3 linked regions of the Oryzias latipes genome follow. The protein of the gene in region 2 interacts with the protein of the main gene of each other region in a pairwise test. Links are inferred from orthologs where the notes say so. Each region holds a gene or a part of one and is shown on either strand. Other genes may lie near its edges.

Region 1 (4,032 bases), on a different chromosome or scaffold from region 2:
AAGCGCAAATTGGGGAAACATTAAAGTCAAAGCATAGAGTACGAACAGGAAACGACTATGAGGGAGGGACACCCGGCAAACCTGTAAGGACAGCAAATCGGCACGCTGCTTTACATGTTATGTAAAAGATGAGTGTCCCATATGCAAAATTACTTTAATGTCCAATTTTTTTTCTTTTTTTTTGCGATGCGCAGCATCAAAAGCCTGTCCTTGAAGTCGGGGTCAAAACCGCAGGAGGGGGTTTCTCTTTTCATCAGTGCTATTTATACTCTAATATCACTTTCTTCTGTGACAGAATTGAAGCGAGGCATCGCTGGCCAATCAAATTTCAGGCCTTTTTTAGAAGCATTTCTGATTTCACAACAGCCTATGAGTAACTCAGGAAACCCCATCAGGATTTCTTATTTCTCTATGCACAGAACATGCTTATTACATTGTAACAAAGCATTTTGCTCCTGAAGAGACAGATTCACCAAGCAAGCGTTGAGCCTCAAAAGTAAAAAAAAAAAGACGCTAAACATTTTGGCAAAGCCTATAAATGGCCGTTGGCTGGCGTATTTGCCAATCCAAAGAACTTGAAGGAGAAAGCGGGCCTAAAGCCCAGTGGGTTTGTTTGTTACAGAGTGTATGCATGTGTCAAGCACAAACAAACTCATACCTTTCACATCCACACGCACAAACCCAGCATGTTTCTGTGTCAGAAAAGAAATCAAAGGAACGCGGAGGGATCCGCGCCCTAAAAATATCACCTTTGATTTCACAAAACTACACATTTAAAAGTGCCTGTGGTGACATAGCACTCGCTCCTGCTGATCTTTCCTAACGGTGGTTGTAATGAATTTTTTTGTTCTTGCCCAATGGCGACATTTTGGTGTTTCTAACAACACTTTTGTCATATCGTGCAAGTCATGTCAAGCTGCCTGTTTACTGTAAATGGCATAGATAATGAACAGAAGGGTCCACTGATGCACACAAGGAGGGCATTTTCTTTCTGTTTTGGATTTCATTGGTGCACATTATGTGCAATTAGCATTTGAAATTGTCTGATTATCAAGTAAACAACTGCTGTGCCTTATATTTTAAGAGTAGTTGAATTCTGTGGAGGAGGTTCGTCGAAATAAAAGCTTTTCTATTGTAAAATTCTCACACCTAACAATAGAAAAAAACATCCTTTTAGCTGAAAAGGCTGCATTATTGAGACGTTGTTATTAATCTGCAGCTACACCTGTTTCTGCTCGTCTGTTTTTTCCTTTTTTCTCTTATTTCAAAGTTAAATATTAACCTGCTGGTGTTTAAATGACCTTTAACCAGCTGTGCAGCTGTGCTCAAAGCAAAACGAGGCCGAAGTGAAACTGAAACTTACAGTATTGTAATACTACTCCAGAGGATTTCTTGCAGCAGCAATAATGGGAGGTGTCGAGTGTTTTTTTTTTTGTTTGTTTGTTTTTCCTGCAGGAGCAATGGTTCAGTGCAAAAAAACACAAGTTTAATACCAAGTGTTAATGCATCTAAACAGGGCTGCGGTTTCTGAGCCCAGGACCCGGCGTTATGTGACTTTACATCAAACACATCAAACTAAACACAGACACCACATGAAGAGGAGAAAAAAAAGGCATTTTGAAGCTTTTGGTGGAAGCAGCAGATCAGAGGGTCTGCATAAACAAAAGGTTAAACCCATGTGAAGTGTTGTGTTTTTAGATTGGTGGGGGTGGTAAAAGGTGAGAGTGAAAGAGACAGAGCAGAGGCTGCAGAGTTGACAGTGTACGCGTGGCACTGTTTATTGGACAGACCAAAACACCAGAGCCAGGCCCAGCTCCGTGAGAAAAAAAAAAAAACACCGTGAAGGCTGAACGCTGGCGGCCGGAAACCCACCGTGCGACTGGGAGGGTTTCCATCAACACAAACCGGGAGTTTAAAAAATAAAAGCCCGGAATTTTTTTAAAAAAAACCAAAATAAAATACTTACCTATTGTTTTGAGTTTTTCTGGACATTGTAGAGGTTTTCGTTTTCTTTCGAGAAAAGTCGTTGGTGTATGGTAAAACAGAGGCATAACCGTGCTCTGCCTCTGTTGGCACACAAAGCAAACATAAATGCTATAGCTTGCTGCAGGAGCAGCAAAACGAAATTAACGAGGCATTAAAGACAAGGCATAAAGACAAATGCATCAGCTTGGTGTCACTTTAAGGGATAAAAAAAGGGTGATCGATCGTTATTGGATTACAATACACTGGAGGGTAAACTATATAGTCGGTTAGATCTATGTTAGGCAGGCTAAATATTGATACACAACCATTTAAAGACATTTTGTACAATATTTGTTTACTAATTCGACACGCAGTCGAAATAAGTTTGAGCAATTTGTAGAAAAAAAATTAGGTCGTAAACGTGTGACAAATAACAGTTGGAAGCTGCTGTGAGGATACAGCTTGGACCCATCGCCCGATAGTGTCCCACTGAGCCTGAAGTGACATCATACCTGCACTATGGCAGGGCACGTCAAAACGTAACAACACACACAAACTTAAGCTAGCTGTTACTGGCATCCTCCACTCACAAATAATCGCAAATGTTTAAATACCTCTGTCTCTTCTTTCCAAGTACTCTGCAGCCTCCAGTAGAATTAAAAGAGAATTAAGTTCCATCTTCTTGTTGTCTTTATATAAAAAATAGAAATAGCCTATTTACACTAATGTACAGTTCATAAAATGGTGTAATGACCGTGTAAAAACTCTTTTAGAGCGGTGTGAGCGCCCTGCTATGATCACTTCTGAGTCGAGATGACTCCAAACTACAGTAACAACAGCACCTAACTCAGGGAAGTGAGTGATCGTACCTCCGTCCAATGAAAAAAGTATTCCGTCGTCTCTTGGGCGTGTCTAGACCAATGAATCGGTCGACACCTCCTAGGTGCGATCTGATTGGCTACACGCTGCGAAAGTCACAAGAGGCATGCCCTAGCAACAGCCGAAGCAGCCCACCTTTTCCGCAGCTGATTGGCTGCATGCTCAGAAGAGAGCGATTTGATTGGTTAGAAGGAAATTAATGTGTAGTTGCTGAACTTGGGTGTTGTTTTGGAGGCCAAGCTGGAACCTCCCCGTGTACGCCTTTCCTTTGAAATTATAAAGTAAACTAGATGTTTTCAGTCAAGATATTTCATATACCGTACGTCATCTGTCGTTAGCGTGAGTTTTTTTGGGAAGAGAATTGGTCATTCTTCCTCTTTTTTTAACTTCTTCTAATTTCCTGTCCAAGTCATGGTGAAAGTTCTGTGCAGGCCTGCACGTTTGCAAAGTTATCACAATTAATATATAAGAGCATATGGCGTAACATGGTTTCCTATTATGATGAAAAAAACACACAAAAGTGTAGGAGAAATGAAACACACAATCTTTGAAATGTTTGTCTTGAAGATGTTCATCGTAGAAATAACCACAGTTACAGGTTTTAATTTGCAGATTGTGGTACAGACATGACTCATAAAATATTATGTCCAAAAGCATTTCGCTTTCTAAATAAATCATAGGGTATGCAATTTGTTAGTGAAATATTATGCTATCAAAAAGTTTGTAAGCACATATAAAGGAATTAGAAGTAAAAATTCATTTTTAAAATATTACATGTTTTACGACTGTGAACCAAAATTCTTGTAAAGTAAATTAGATTGTGTTGTTTGTTTTAGTTGTCTAACATTGGATAGTAAAAAAAATTACATATAGTATATTCTCTAAAAAGTAAGTGCGTTGAGTTATTTAAGTTATTTGAGTTATTTGATTGCTTTTTGTTCCGCTGTATACACATTTGGCATATTATGAGTAATATGTTTGCTCATTATAATCTACTTTTATAGAGAATTTATGTTAAATGCATGCTGGGAGTGTTATTATTTTGCCTAACAATCATCAAATGCTAACATTTAAGTGTGGGGAGACCTTGATGTTATAATCTGATCAGAAATTTGTTTTTTTGTTTGTTTTTTCAATTTTGAAGCTGAAAAGAAACAGGAGATCATATATTTTAGATGAATCTTTAAA
Region 2 (4,242 bases):
TGGTTTGCAGTGCTCTTCAATCCAGCTAAAAACACAAGCAGACAGTTCTTCGAAGCTGCTGACTGAGACGGAGTTGCTGAAGGACACAAACAGGGAGTCCATGATGCTCTGAAAGATGTCAAACTTGACCTGGTCAGACACCTGATCCTCTCCCTGTTGTGGATTGCTCTGATGAGCCTTTACTATGTGCTCATAGTTCCTTCAAAAAAACAAAACAGACAGTATTTATACCACTAAAGGTTGACAGCAGTTATGAATTTAACAGTTTACTTCAGTTTCTATTAGATTATTGAAGCTAAAAAGGTCCTGGAGAAGAAGAAAAAACAAACTATGATACAAAAATGATGTTTTTTTCAACAAAACTTTACATTAGAAAAGGGGCAAGAACTTAAAAAAAATCAAAATCTCTTAATGCAAAAAAAACAACAACTATATTTTTAATCCAAATAAAGGCAGAGTGTTGACAAACTATGAGGAAGACTTAAGTAGGAAAAGGTGGTATGTCATTATAAGCTGCTCTCACGTTTTCATTATCTTAAGTGCCATAACTTCTTTCCTCAGGACAGAGACTTCCTCCTCTTGCTTCTTCTTTTCTTTATGAAGAAAATGAATGTAGTCAATAGCTAAAAAAAAAAAAAAGAATCAGAGCATTGTCAGTTAGTTTCTTCATACTGCTTTTTATGGTTTTTGCATCTATTTTGTGACCATAAAGGTAACTGAAACTAGATCGTGTTATCAGTTTTTAAATGTGTTTAGTGGAAACTACCATCTCACATTTACCTGACTGTCTGAAAATAACCTCACTTTTAGCATTACAGGTGTTTCAAATATAAAAAGAATAAATACTTTTACAAATGTAAAAGAACAAATGTTATCATCCCACTATTTCAATAGGTTTTGAGTAAATCTTACTTTTCTGCAGGATTGTAGCTTTGCTGATCTTCTGTGCTCCTACGGCAAACTCAGACTGCTGTTGACAGGTTGGAACAATTGACTGAAGATCATCATAACCTTTCTGAAATAAAAGTAAAGAAATATATACGAGATCAGATATCTGGAATTTTAAAGACAGTGACGCGATTCTTCTGCGGTCTCACCTTGATGGCATCTCTGCGCTTTTGCTCAGCTTGTGTGTGCGCTTGTCTCCTTCTGTCTTTATACGAGTCTTTAAGCGACGTCTCGTGTCTGTAGTCGCTGTCCTCATCATCTATTTTGGAATAAATTAAACTATTGTGACCCGACTCTGTTTTTGTGCTGTCGATCAAATTATAAAAAGCATTTCAATAAATACAAGAGTCAAATCTCAAAGTGGCCTCATGGTTCTATTGGGATGTTAGCATGTTTTTATAAACATTTCTCACCAAGAAAAAGTATATTAAATACTTTTAACCAAAGAATTTAGTCTTCCAGAAAAGGGTAGATAGCACAATTGTGGATTGAAAAGAAAAACAATAAAGTAATTTCCTATTATTTTCATTTATGATGACAGAGTAAAACTTTTGATTGATATCAAAACAGACTGGATGTCGATTTAAAAGACTCTAAAGCTACCAGTATTTGGTACTGAAGAGGCACTTGTTGACCCGATGCTGTTTGCTCTGGACACCACACTTCCTTTTCTGGCTGTTTCAATATAGAAACCTGCAAATATAAGCATAAATGTTTAGAAATATGACAAAAATAAGACATAAACAAAAAGAAAACCAATCCGAAAAAGTTGTTTTCTCACAGGCAGGATTTGATTTAAAAACAAAACCCAAAAACTACTCACTTTGGTCAAAGCCACCATCGCTGAAAGCACCATCTGTCTGCGCAGCCATCATAAAGAAGCAGGAGAAATGGACAAAAAGCGGTGGGTTTACCATTATAGACCAAAAAAAGAAAAGAAAGTGTGCTGTTCTAAATACTTTGATTACAAAGACCAGAACACCCACTGAGGATTGTCCTGGTTTAACACATTCAAGCAGGGAGAACACAACTCGTTCGATCGCAATTTAGTTAAAATTTAGGACAACAACAAAAGAACAGGTAAACTTCACAATTAGTGATTTTCTAGTGGCTCCCTCTTGAATGGTACTTTCAGCATCAAAGTTAAGCTGACATATAAAAAAATACAATTAATCTACTGTAAAGTCAAGATTCAAAGGTTTTTTAACATCAAAAATATCTCTTAAAATTTTACTTAGTGGCACTGGTACCAAACCTGACAAAACAAACTACATGCATTAGCTTAAATGTAAAGGCAGACTACTAGTACTTCTTCGTTATGAAATCTTGACAGAAACCAAATTTTCATTTTCCTACCGTCATTGTACACACAATGAAACCGACTCTCTCTCCGTTCTTTTGTTTAGATATCTACGGTTTTGCTGACCCAAGTGTATTTTTTTCATGTGCATGAAGACTTTTTAAAAACTGAATTAACCCGAGTTTTCCGGTAGCTTTGTTTACTTAGCTAGCTTGCTTTGCTAAGCACTTCAATGTTGCTTAACGTCACTAAGCTAGTTAGCCGCGAGGCTATTATCAAAGCACCGTTTCCACTTTACTTCCGCGTTTTGACAGCCGAGTCAGTTATAACTGCCGCCCCCAACAACACAGACCAAGTAATTATTTAAAAAAGTAAAGTTTGTGATAAGTTAAAATCTGGTTCATAAGAGTGACTTACTTTCCAGTGTTCCTCTGGGGATGTAGGATCCGTCATTTTGGAAGGCTGAAAAAACTAATAGTGGTGTCGCATTCACGTGTCACTCGTAAATTAAACTGCTTTGTTAGGAATGAGATGCGTTCATATTTCAAACCATCAACATTTAAATAATACTTTAACTATAAATATAAATACTTTATATATGTATGTGTTTTGTATACAAGTAGTTTTTTTGTTTCTGTGATTAATTAGTAAGAAGATACTTTTAAATGTTTTACCTTTTGATGTAATATGTAACTGACGTAATTTTTGGTAAAAATGTAGGCACCTATTGTTCAAACTTCAAGTATTTGTCACATATATTTATTTATTCCTTTAACTATTTATATACACAACAATGTGAATGTTAGTATCATTCATAACGAAAATTTCATACTGATCTCAAATGTTGCACGGCTATATGCAGTGATAATCTTTAAACGCAGGAGGTCGCTGTTTCTCAGTTTTAAAACCAGTATTCAACTTTAGCTGTTTGACCCGTGCGACCTCCAAAACAAACCTGTCTCAAGCTAGAGTGGAATAAACAGCTCCAGTTTATAGATTTAGCTTTAAATGATTAATAAGCTGCAGACAATTCTATTGTTGGTTTAATTTTGTACATTTGCATGTTGTAATTGTGTCTTTATTTCTGGTTACCATGAGCAATGTAGTTCTTTTCTTTTGCTATGTGTTGTTTATTTGTTATGTACCTTTTTATATTTGTGATCCGAATAACGGATGCAGTTTATCTTCCACCCTGTCCTCCACCTCAGGTTCTGCTGCACTCATACACAGGAAGTTACTCTTCTGCTTTTCTGCTTCTGTGGTTTCTGTCTGTGTTTCACACTCCCCTCTCCTTCCTCTCATACAGAGGCGTCTCTGCCTTATTCAGAGAAGTTTTCAACCTGTGTAGAAATAGTTCATGAGAGTTGGGTACGTCTTTTCTTAGAGCACGCAGGCCTAACAAGGCTATTGTCTTGTTCTTGTTGGCTCATGTAGACAGACAAGTTTCTGAGCGGACAAACATGAAGACAACCCTCGTTTTTTTCATCACTTATCCTGTCTTGAAGACAGGACGCAATTTAGAATAAATGTTCTTCACCTTAAAGGCACAGGACTTGATTCATCTTAGACCTTCCTGTTTTTGTCATTTAGAGTGACCAACTTTTTGTCACTCTGCTCTGGAATACACCAATTTTCCTCGGAGAAAGGGTTTGTGTAAAGCTTTCCTCCTGGATTACTTTTGGAGATTAGTGATGGGGAATGCGGCGGCAGGGGGCTTGGAGCAAGAACCTGCTGACGGCCGGGACGCCAGGATCTCGGTTTCGGCAATGAGTGATCCCGCACTTGTCTTGCAGAAGAAACAGTCGGCTCCCCCAAAACTTCCCATGCCTCCGGAGGAGGAGCTGGAAGAACGCTTCAATGTGGTCCTGGTGAGTGGTTCTTGTTACTCACACTTTCACCAAATGCAGAGACACTACAGTCCAAGAAACCTGTTGTTAGGAAGGTTATTTGGAATCACATAAATAAGAAGTTTGATCTAATATAACCTTTTAATG
Region 3 (4,004 bases), on a different chromosome or scaffold from region 2:
TTACTTCAACATTTATTTAAAAAAAATAAATGTAAAACCTGCAGAGTAAAAAATTTCTACATTTTAGTCATTTTTTTTCGATTAAAAACCCAAATTTGAACATATTTGGTTGGTCTCAGGTTCTATTAAGCTGTAAGAAAATATATAAGATTTGAAAAAGACATTTAATTGCAGCACGCCTGTTGAAAGAGGAGATGTAATAAAGCTACCCAACAATAAAAGAGGGTGTGATAAACTGGCTGCAGAACAACAACAACAAAAATAAAATAATGACGTCTACAAATTCATGGCAGCAGACTTCACCAAGGGGACACTTCACTGTGAGGCTCTCAAAAGCAGCTCCAACATGGACACAGGAAGTGCTCCCAAAATAAAACCCAACAGAAGGAGGAAATGTGGCCAAAACCGTTGAAACAAATGGGTGATAGCACGAAACAAGATGACAGCGATCTGTGACGGGGAGGAAAACGTCAGAAATATTATAATGATATAATTACACAGTGATGGCCTAATAGAGTAATAGAGACTCAAAAAATTGGGGGAAATGTTTTATCGCAGTAAAAAAAAATCTGCTCAAATAATCTAAAGCGCTGTTTAGATTGAAAAACAAAGTGATTTAATCGTGACCCCTTCCAAGAAAGGGTTTAAAAAAATACATTTATATCAATTTTAGCAAGAATGTACAGTGACATAGTTGTACTGGACTGATGACAATAGTCTTTATCGCAAAAGAAGATGAATTAGGACACTAAGTAAACACAGAAAGATATTTTCACATGGAAAGCACCAAAATCCTAAACTAACTTGAACTTATCATAGAATGTTTTCCAGGAAGCCAATACTCTGACTAAATCAGATTTAATTCAATTTTAACTGAACAACAATTCATTCTGAAAGGGGATCATTTGTGATGTTTTTTGAATCGTGGTGTTCAGACACTGTTGGAGTTAACATGCATAATCCAAATGAAGATCCTATTGTGAATGAGGAAATATTCAAAATACTCTGTTTGCATGTGCTCCAAGAACAACATTATTCTGGTTTAAAATGTTTCTGTTACGGTCAGAGGGGGTTTTAGAACAACTGTTTCCCCAGAGAGGGAAAAACCTTTTTCACAGATGATCTTTAGGCTAAATTTCCAGTATAAACATTTTTTATGACATATTAGTAATTCTACAAATGGAACATTGCTGCACATGTAAAAACAGGCCTACCTTTTTTTTCCTCTTTTGTCGTTCTATTGTCACATTTCCTCTCCACTAAATAGGTTTGTGTTCAAATTAAAGCTTTGACATTTTGATTTTTCTTCAACACAGACTCTTGTCACATGATTTCAAACGCTTTTACCTGCTACTTATGTTTTTCTTGCTTTTGCTTTTCCTTTTCAGGCTTTCCCTCTCTCTGCTGCTGCTGCTGCTGCTGAATGGTGGCATGGAGGCATAGCCGTGTTCAGCTTCTGCAAACAAACAAACAAACAGACAAACAAACAGTGATCACATGTCATCATTCATTTCTGCAGATACTGCAACAGTTAGGGCATGCCAGAAGGCTGCAAGGTGTGCACCCGGCTCTCTTTATTTTATTGCTTATGTGCATGCATGCAGTATTTTCACACAGTATCCCCCCACCCCCCACCCCAACAGCCTGGATAATGATGTCATCTTAAACTGGAATAAACCCCACAAGCAAACCACAACATAAGGAAAGGAGGAGCTTTCCTGCAAACAGTGTCTCCCTGCATCTGATTTCCTCGATTTATTCATAAAATATTTGAATATTTAATTGATGTTTATATGCCAAGTATGAAGTTGTACATGTCCTTACATGTGGGGGAAAAGTAAACCCTGCAACGATGCTTATCTGAGTCGGTAACTCCACCATGTACTAAGAATTAAAGTGTTCAAAAGGCGCTTTGAAATCACGTGAACCGATTGATCATGTGTGCAAACACAGTCTTTGTTAATGTTTGGAGGGGGGGGGGGGCGAGTCACAAAGCACAGAATGTAAATATGCTTTATTTACCTCGTTCCCTGCGATCCAGATACTCGGCTGCTTCGATCAACATCTGCACCATTCCGATCGCCGCCATTTTCAACAATAACTGGGATATTCTAGCAATCCGATGAGGGATTCCGTGACTGTACACAGCGTTCCTCCTCTCACGTCCAGCCCCTCAGCTGCTGTGATGCTCCGGCCGGTTTTCTTTTTAAAAGGCGGCGTGAAACGTTAGAGGGCTGTTCTGTGGGAGTTAAAGGTCCCAGATTGTTTTTTTTTTTGTTTGTTTTTTTGGTTAAGAGCTAACGTTGATGTCTATTAAAAGCTGTTTGAGAGAGGCAGTAAAAGCTAGCTAATCAAAGCTAAGGCAAACCTTCCCCCTAAAAAATTAAGAAATATATAATATAAAAGGTTCCTTATCTTCTATTTGGGCTAATTTAGACGCTTTGAGAAAATATTGGCGAAAAATCCAGAGAGACTTGTCAGTAAACGAATGCTGATTGTCAAACAAAAAAGACAGGAACAGGTTCGCGGACACTAGGAATTAAGGAAAAAAAAGTAAAAAGAAAAAAAGAAAGTTCTTGAAAGATTTGCTGTATCGGCTAATCGAGAAAAAAATCCGCCTGTTGAATTGTCACAAACTTAACTGGTGTGACAGTGGTAGAAAAAAATTAAATTAAATTAAAAGCTTGACGAACCGACGCTTCTTTTCAGTTTTATCGGTTTCGGGGCAGACTAGCTTACTGCTGGTTTATCGCTCGTGACACGCCACGCGCTTCGTTTGACACGCATCAGTTTAAGAAGAACGACAGTTTATCAAAGTGCTTCCAAATACTGGCTGGTTGATGTAGACAACAGCAACACACTGTACTCTCCACGAAGCCTCTCAGTACTCTTCTGTGATTGGACAGAGCCGATTGGAGGTCGATTGCCCATTGGGCTACTCAGGCATCAATCATTTAAAGGGGCGGAAGTGTCTTTGCAGTTGAGGAACTGCTTCGAAATCGCAAGCAGCAACCCGTGTATTGTGATTGGAGATTTAGTTAAACGCTTGTTAGCTATTGGGCTACTAAACCAGACAAACTAAAGCGATAGCTCCCTTTTTGGAGTGAAAATGCCGTCTTTTTACGCTGCATCGTGGTGTTGGGCTATGATTGGTTCCTACAGTTTCACTTCCTGTATTATTCCTCCCTTTATTGGTTATGTACGCGTGTGCCATCGCATAACCACGCCCCATTACAGTAACGTGGCAAAGTAACGAAACTCGTTGACAAAAATTGATTTCTTTAAAGTTGAGGAAAGGATTAATGTTTGATATTTCAACATAGCTATCTAAAAAAATTATATCAACCAAAAATCATAATACAAATAAAAATTAAGCAATTTACACAAAACAAGGATTCATTTTTTATATAAATACTTGCATAGCCACATCTATGTGTGGGTTTTCAGTTATAAATTTAGTGGAATTACTGCACCATCCAAATTTAAAGTGTAAAGTTCTTAGGACAATATCTAAACAATGTGATTTCCTACAAAAACACAGCTTGACTATTTTCTGTTTAAGTTCAAAGGTAGACTTAGTGAAAACAGCCATAAACAGCCATACAACAATGAGTTAAAATTTAAGTTGGTGCAACAACAACTCAAATCAAATGCTCTAATTCCTTTTTTTTAAATGTAAAATACTTTAGCTCTGCCTTTTAATGAATCCAACTTTTTCCATAATGTGTTTCTATCTCCCCATCAAATTCTCATTTGCACAGCAGCACATGCATTTTAAACGTTTGTGTTCTGCTCTATTTAATCCATTGTTTGCTCTTCCGTACTTTAAAATGCAGTGTTCTAAATATTAGAGAGTCTAAGCGTCATGATTCACTTTTTCACTGCCCTTTTTTCCTTTTAAAAAGGTTAATGTACGTGCCTTTGTTTGCCATTTCCTTCTTTGTTCAGAGACATCACTTCTGGGTTTGTTGAACCAAATCTTAAAACCAACTTCAGCTTTTATT

The links.
Region 1: the proteins of mlx (region 2) and mxd4 interact in a two-hybrid assay, tested with the Homo sapiens proteins (2 studies listed by BioGRID). The link is inferred for Oryzias latipes from reciprocal best matches to the Homo sapiens genes MLX and MXD4.
Region 3: the proteins of mlx (region 2) and mxd1 interact in a two-hybrid assay, tested with the Homo sapiens proteins (2 studies listed by BioGRID and IntAct). The link is inferred for Oryzias latipes from reciprocal best matches to the Homo sapiens genes MLX and MXD1.

The regions. Positions count from the first base shown.
Region 1 is NC_019859.2:15,515,678-15,519,709, reverse strand, and holds the start of mxd4 (max dimerization protein 4), read right to left. Parts: upstream 2,822-4,032; 5' UTR 2,644-2,821; coding exon 2,580-2,643; intron 2,067-2,579; coding exon 1,967-2,066; intron 1-1,966. UniProt on the Homo sapiens protein: Transcriptional repressor. Binds with MAX to form a sequence-specific DNA-binding protein complex which recognizes the core sequence 5'-CAC[GA]TG-3'.
Region 2 is NC_019866.2:6,755,839-6,760,080, forward strand, and holds the start of mlx (max-like protein X), read right to left. Parts: upstream 2,805-4,242; 5' UTR 2,702-2,804; coding exon 2,666-2,701; intron 2,616-2,665; exon of another isoform or gene 2,311-2,615; coding exon of another isoform or gene 2,305-2,310; intron 1,809-2,304; coding exon 1,772-1,808; intron 1,642-1,771; coding exon 1,552-1,641; intron 1,208-1,551; coding exon 1,098-1,207; intron 1,016-1,097; coding exon 913-1,015; intron 624-912; coding exon 524-623; intron 200-523; coding exon 1-199. Other genes in the region: fmnl1 (formin-like protein 1), read left to right, coding at 3,940-4,116. UniProt on the Homo sapiens protein: Transcription regulator. Forms a sequence-specific DNA-binding protein complex with MAD1, MAD4, MNT, WBSCR14 and MLXIP which recognizes the core sequence 5'-CACGTG-3'. The TCFL4-MAD1, TCFL4-MAD4, TCFL4-WBSCR14 complexes are transcriptional repressors.
Region 3 is NC_019867.2:24,931,466-24,935,469, reverse strand, and holds the start of mxd1 (max dimerization protein 1), read right to left. Parts: upstream 2,857-4,004; 5' UTR 2,090-2,856; coding exon 2,023-2,089; intron 1,457-2,022; coding exon 1,348-1,456; intron 1-1,347. UniProt on the Homo sapiens protein: Component of a transcriptional repressor complex together with MAX. In complex with MAX binds to the core DNA sequence 5'-CAC[GA]TG-3'. Antagonizes MYC transcriptional activity by competing with MYC for MAX binding.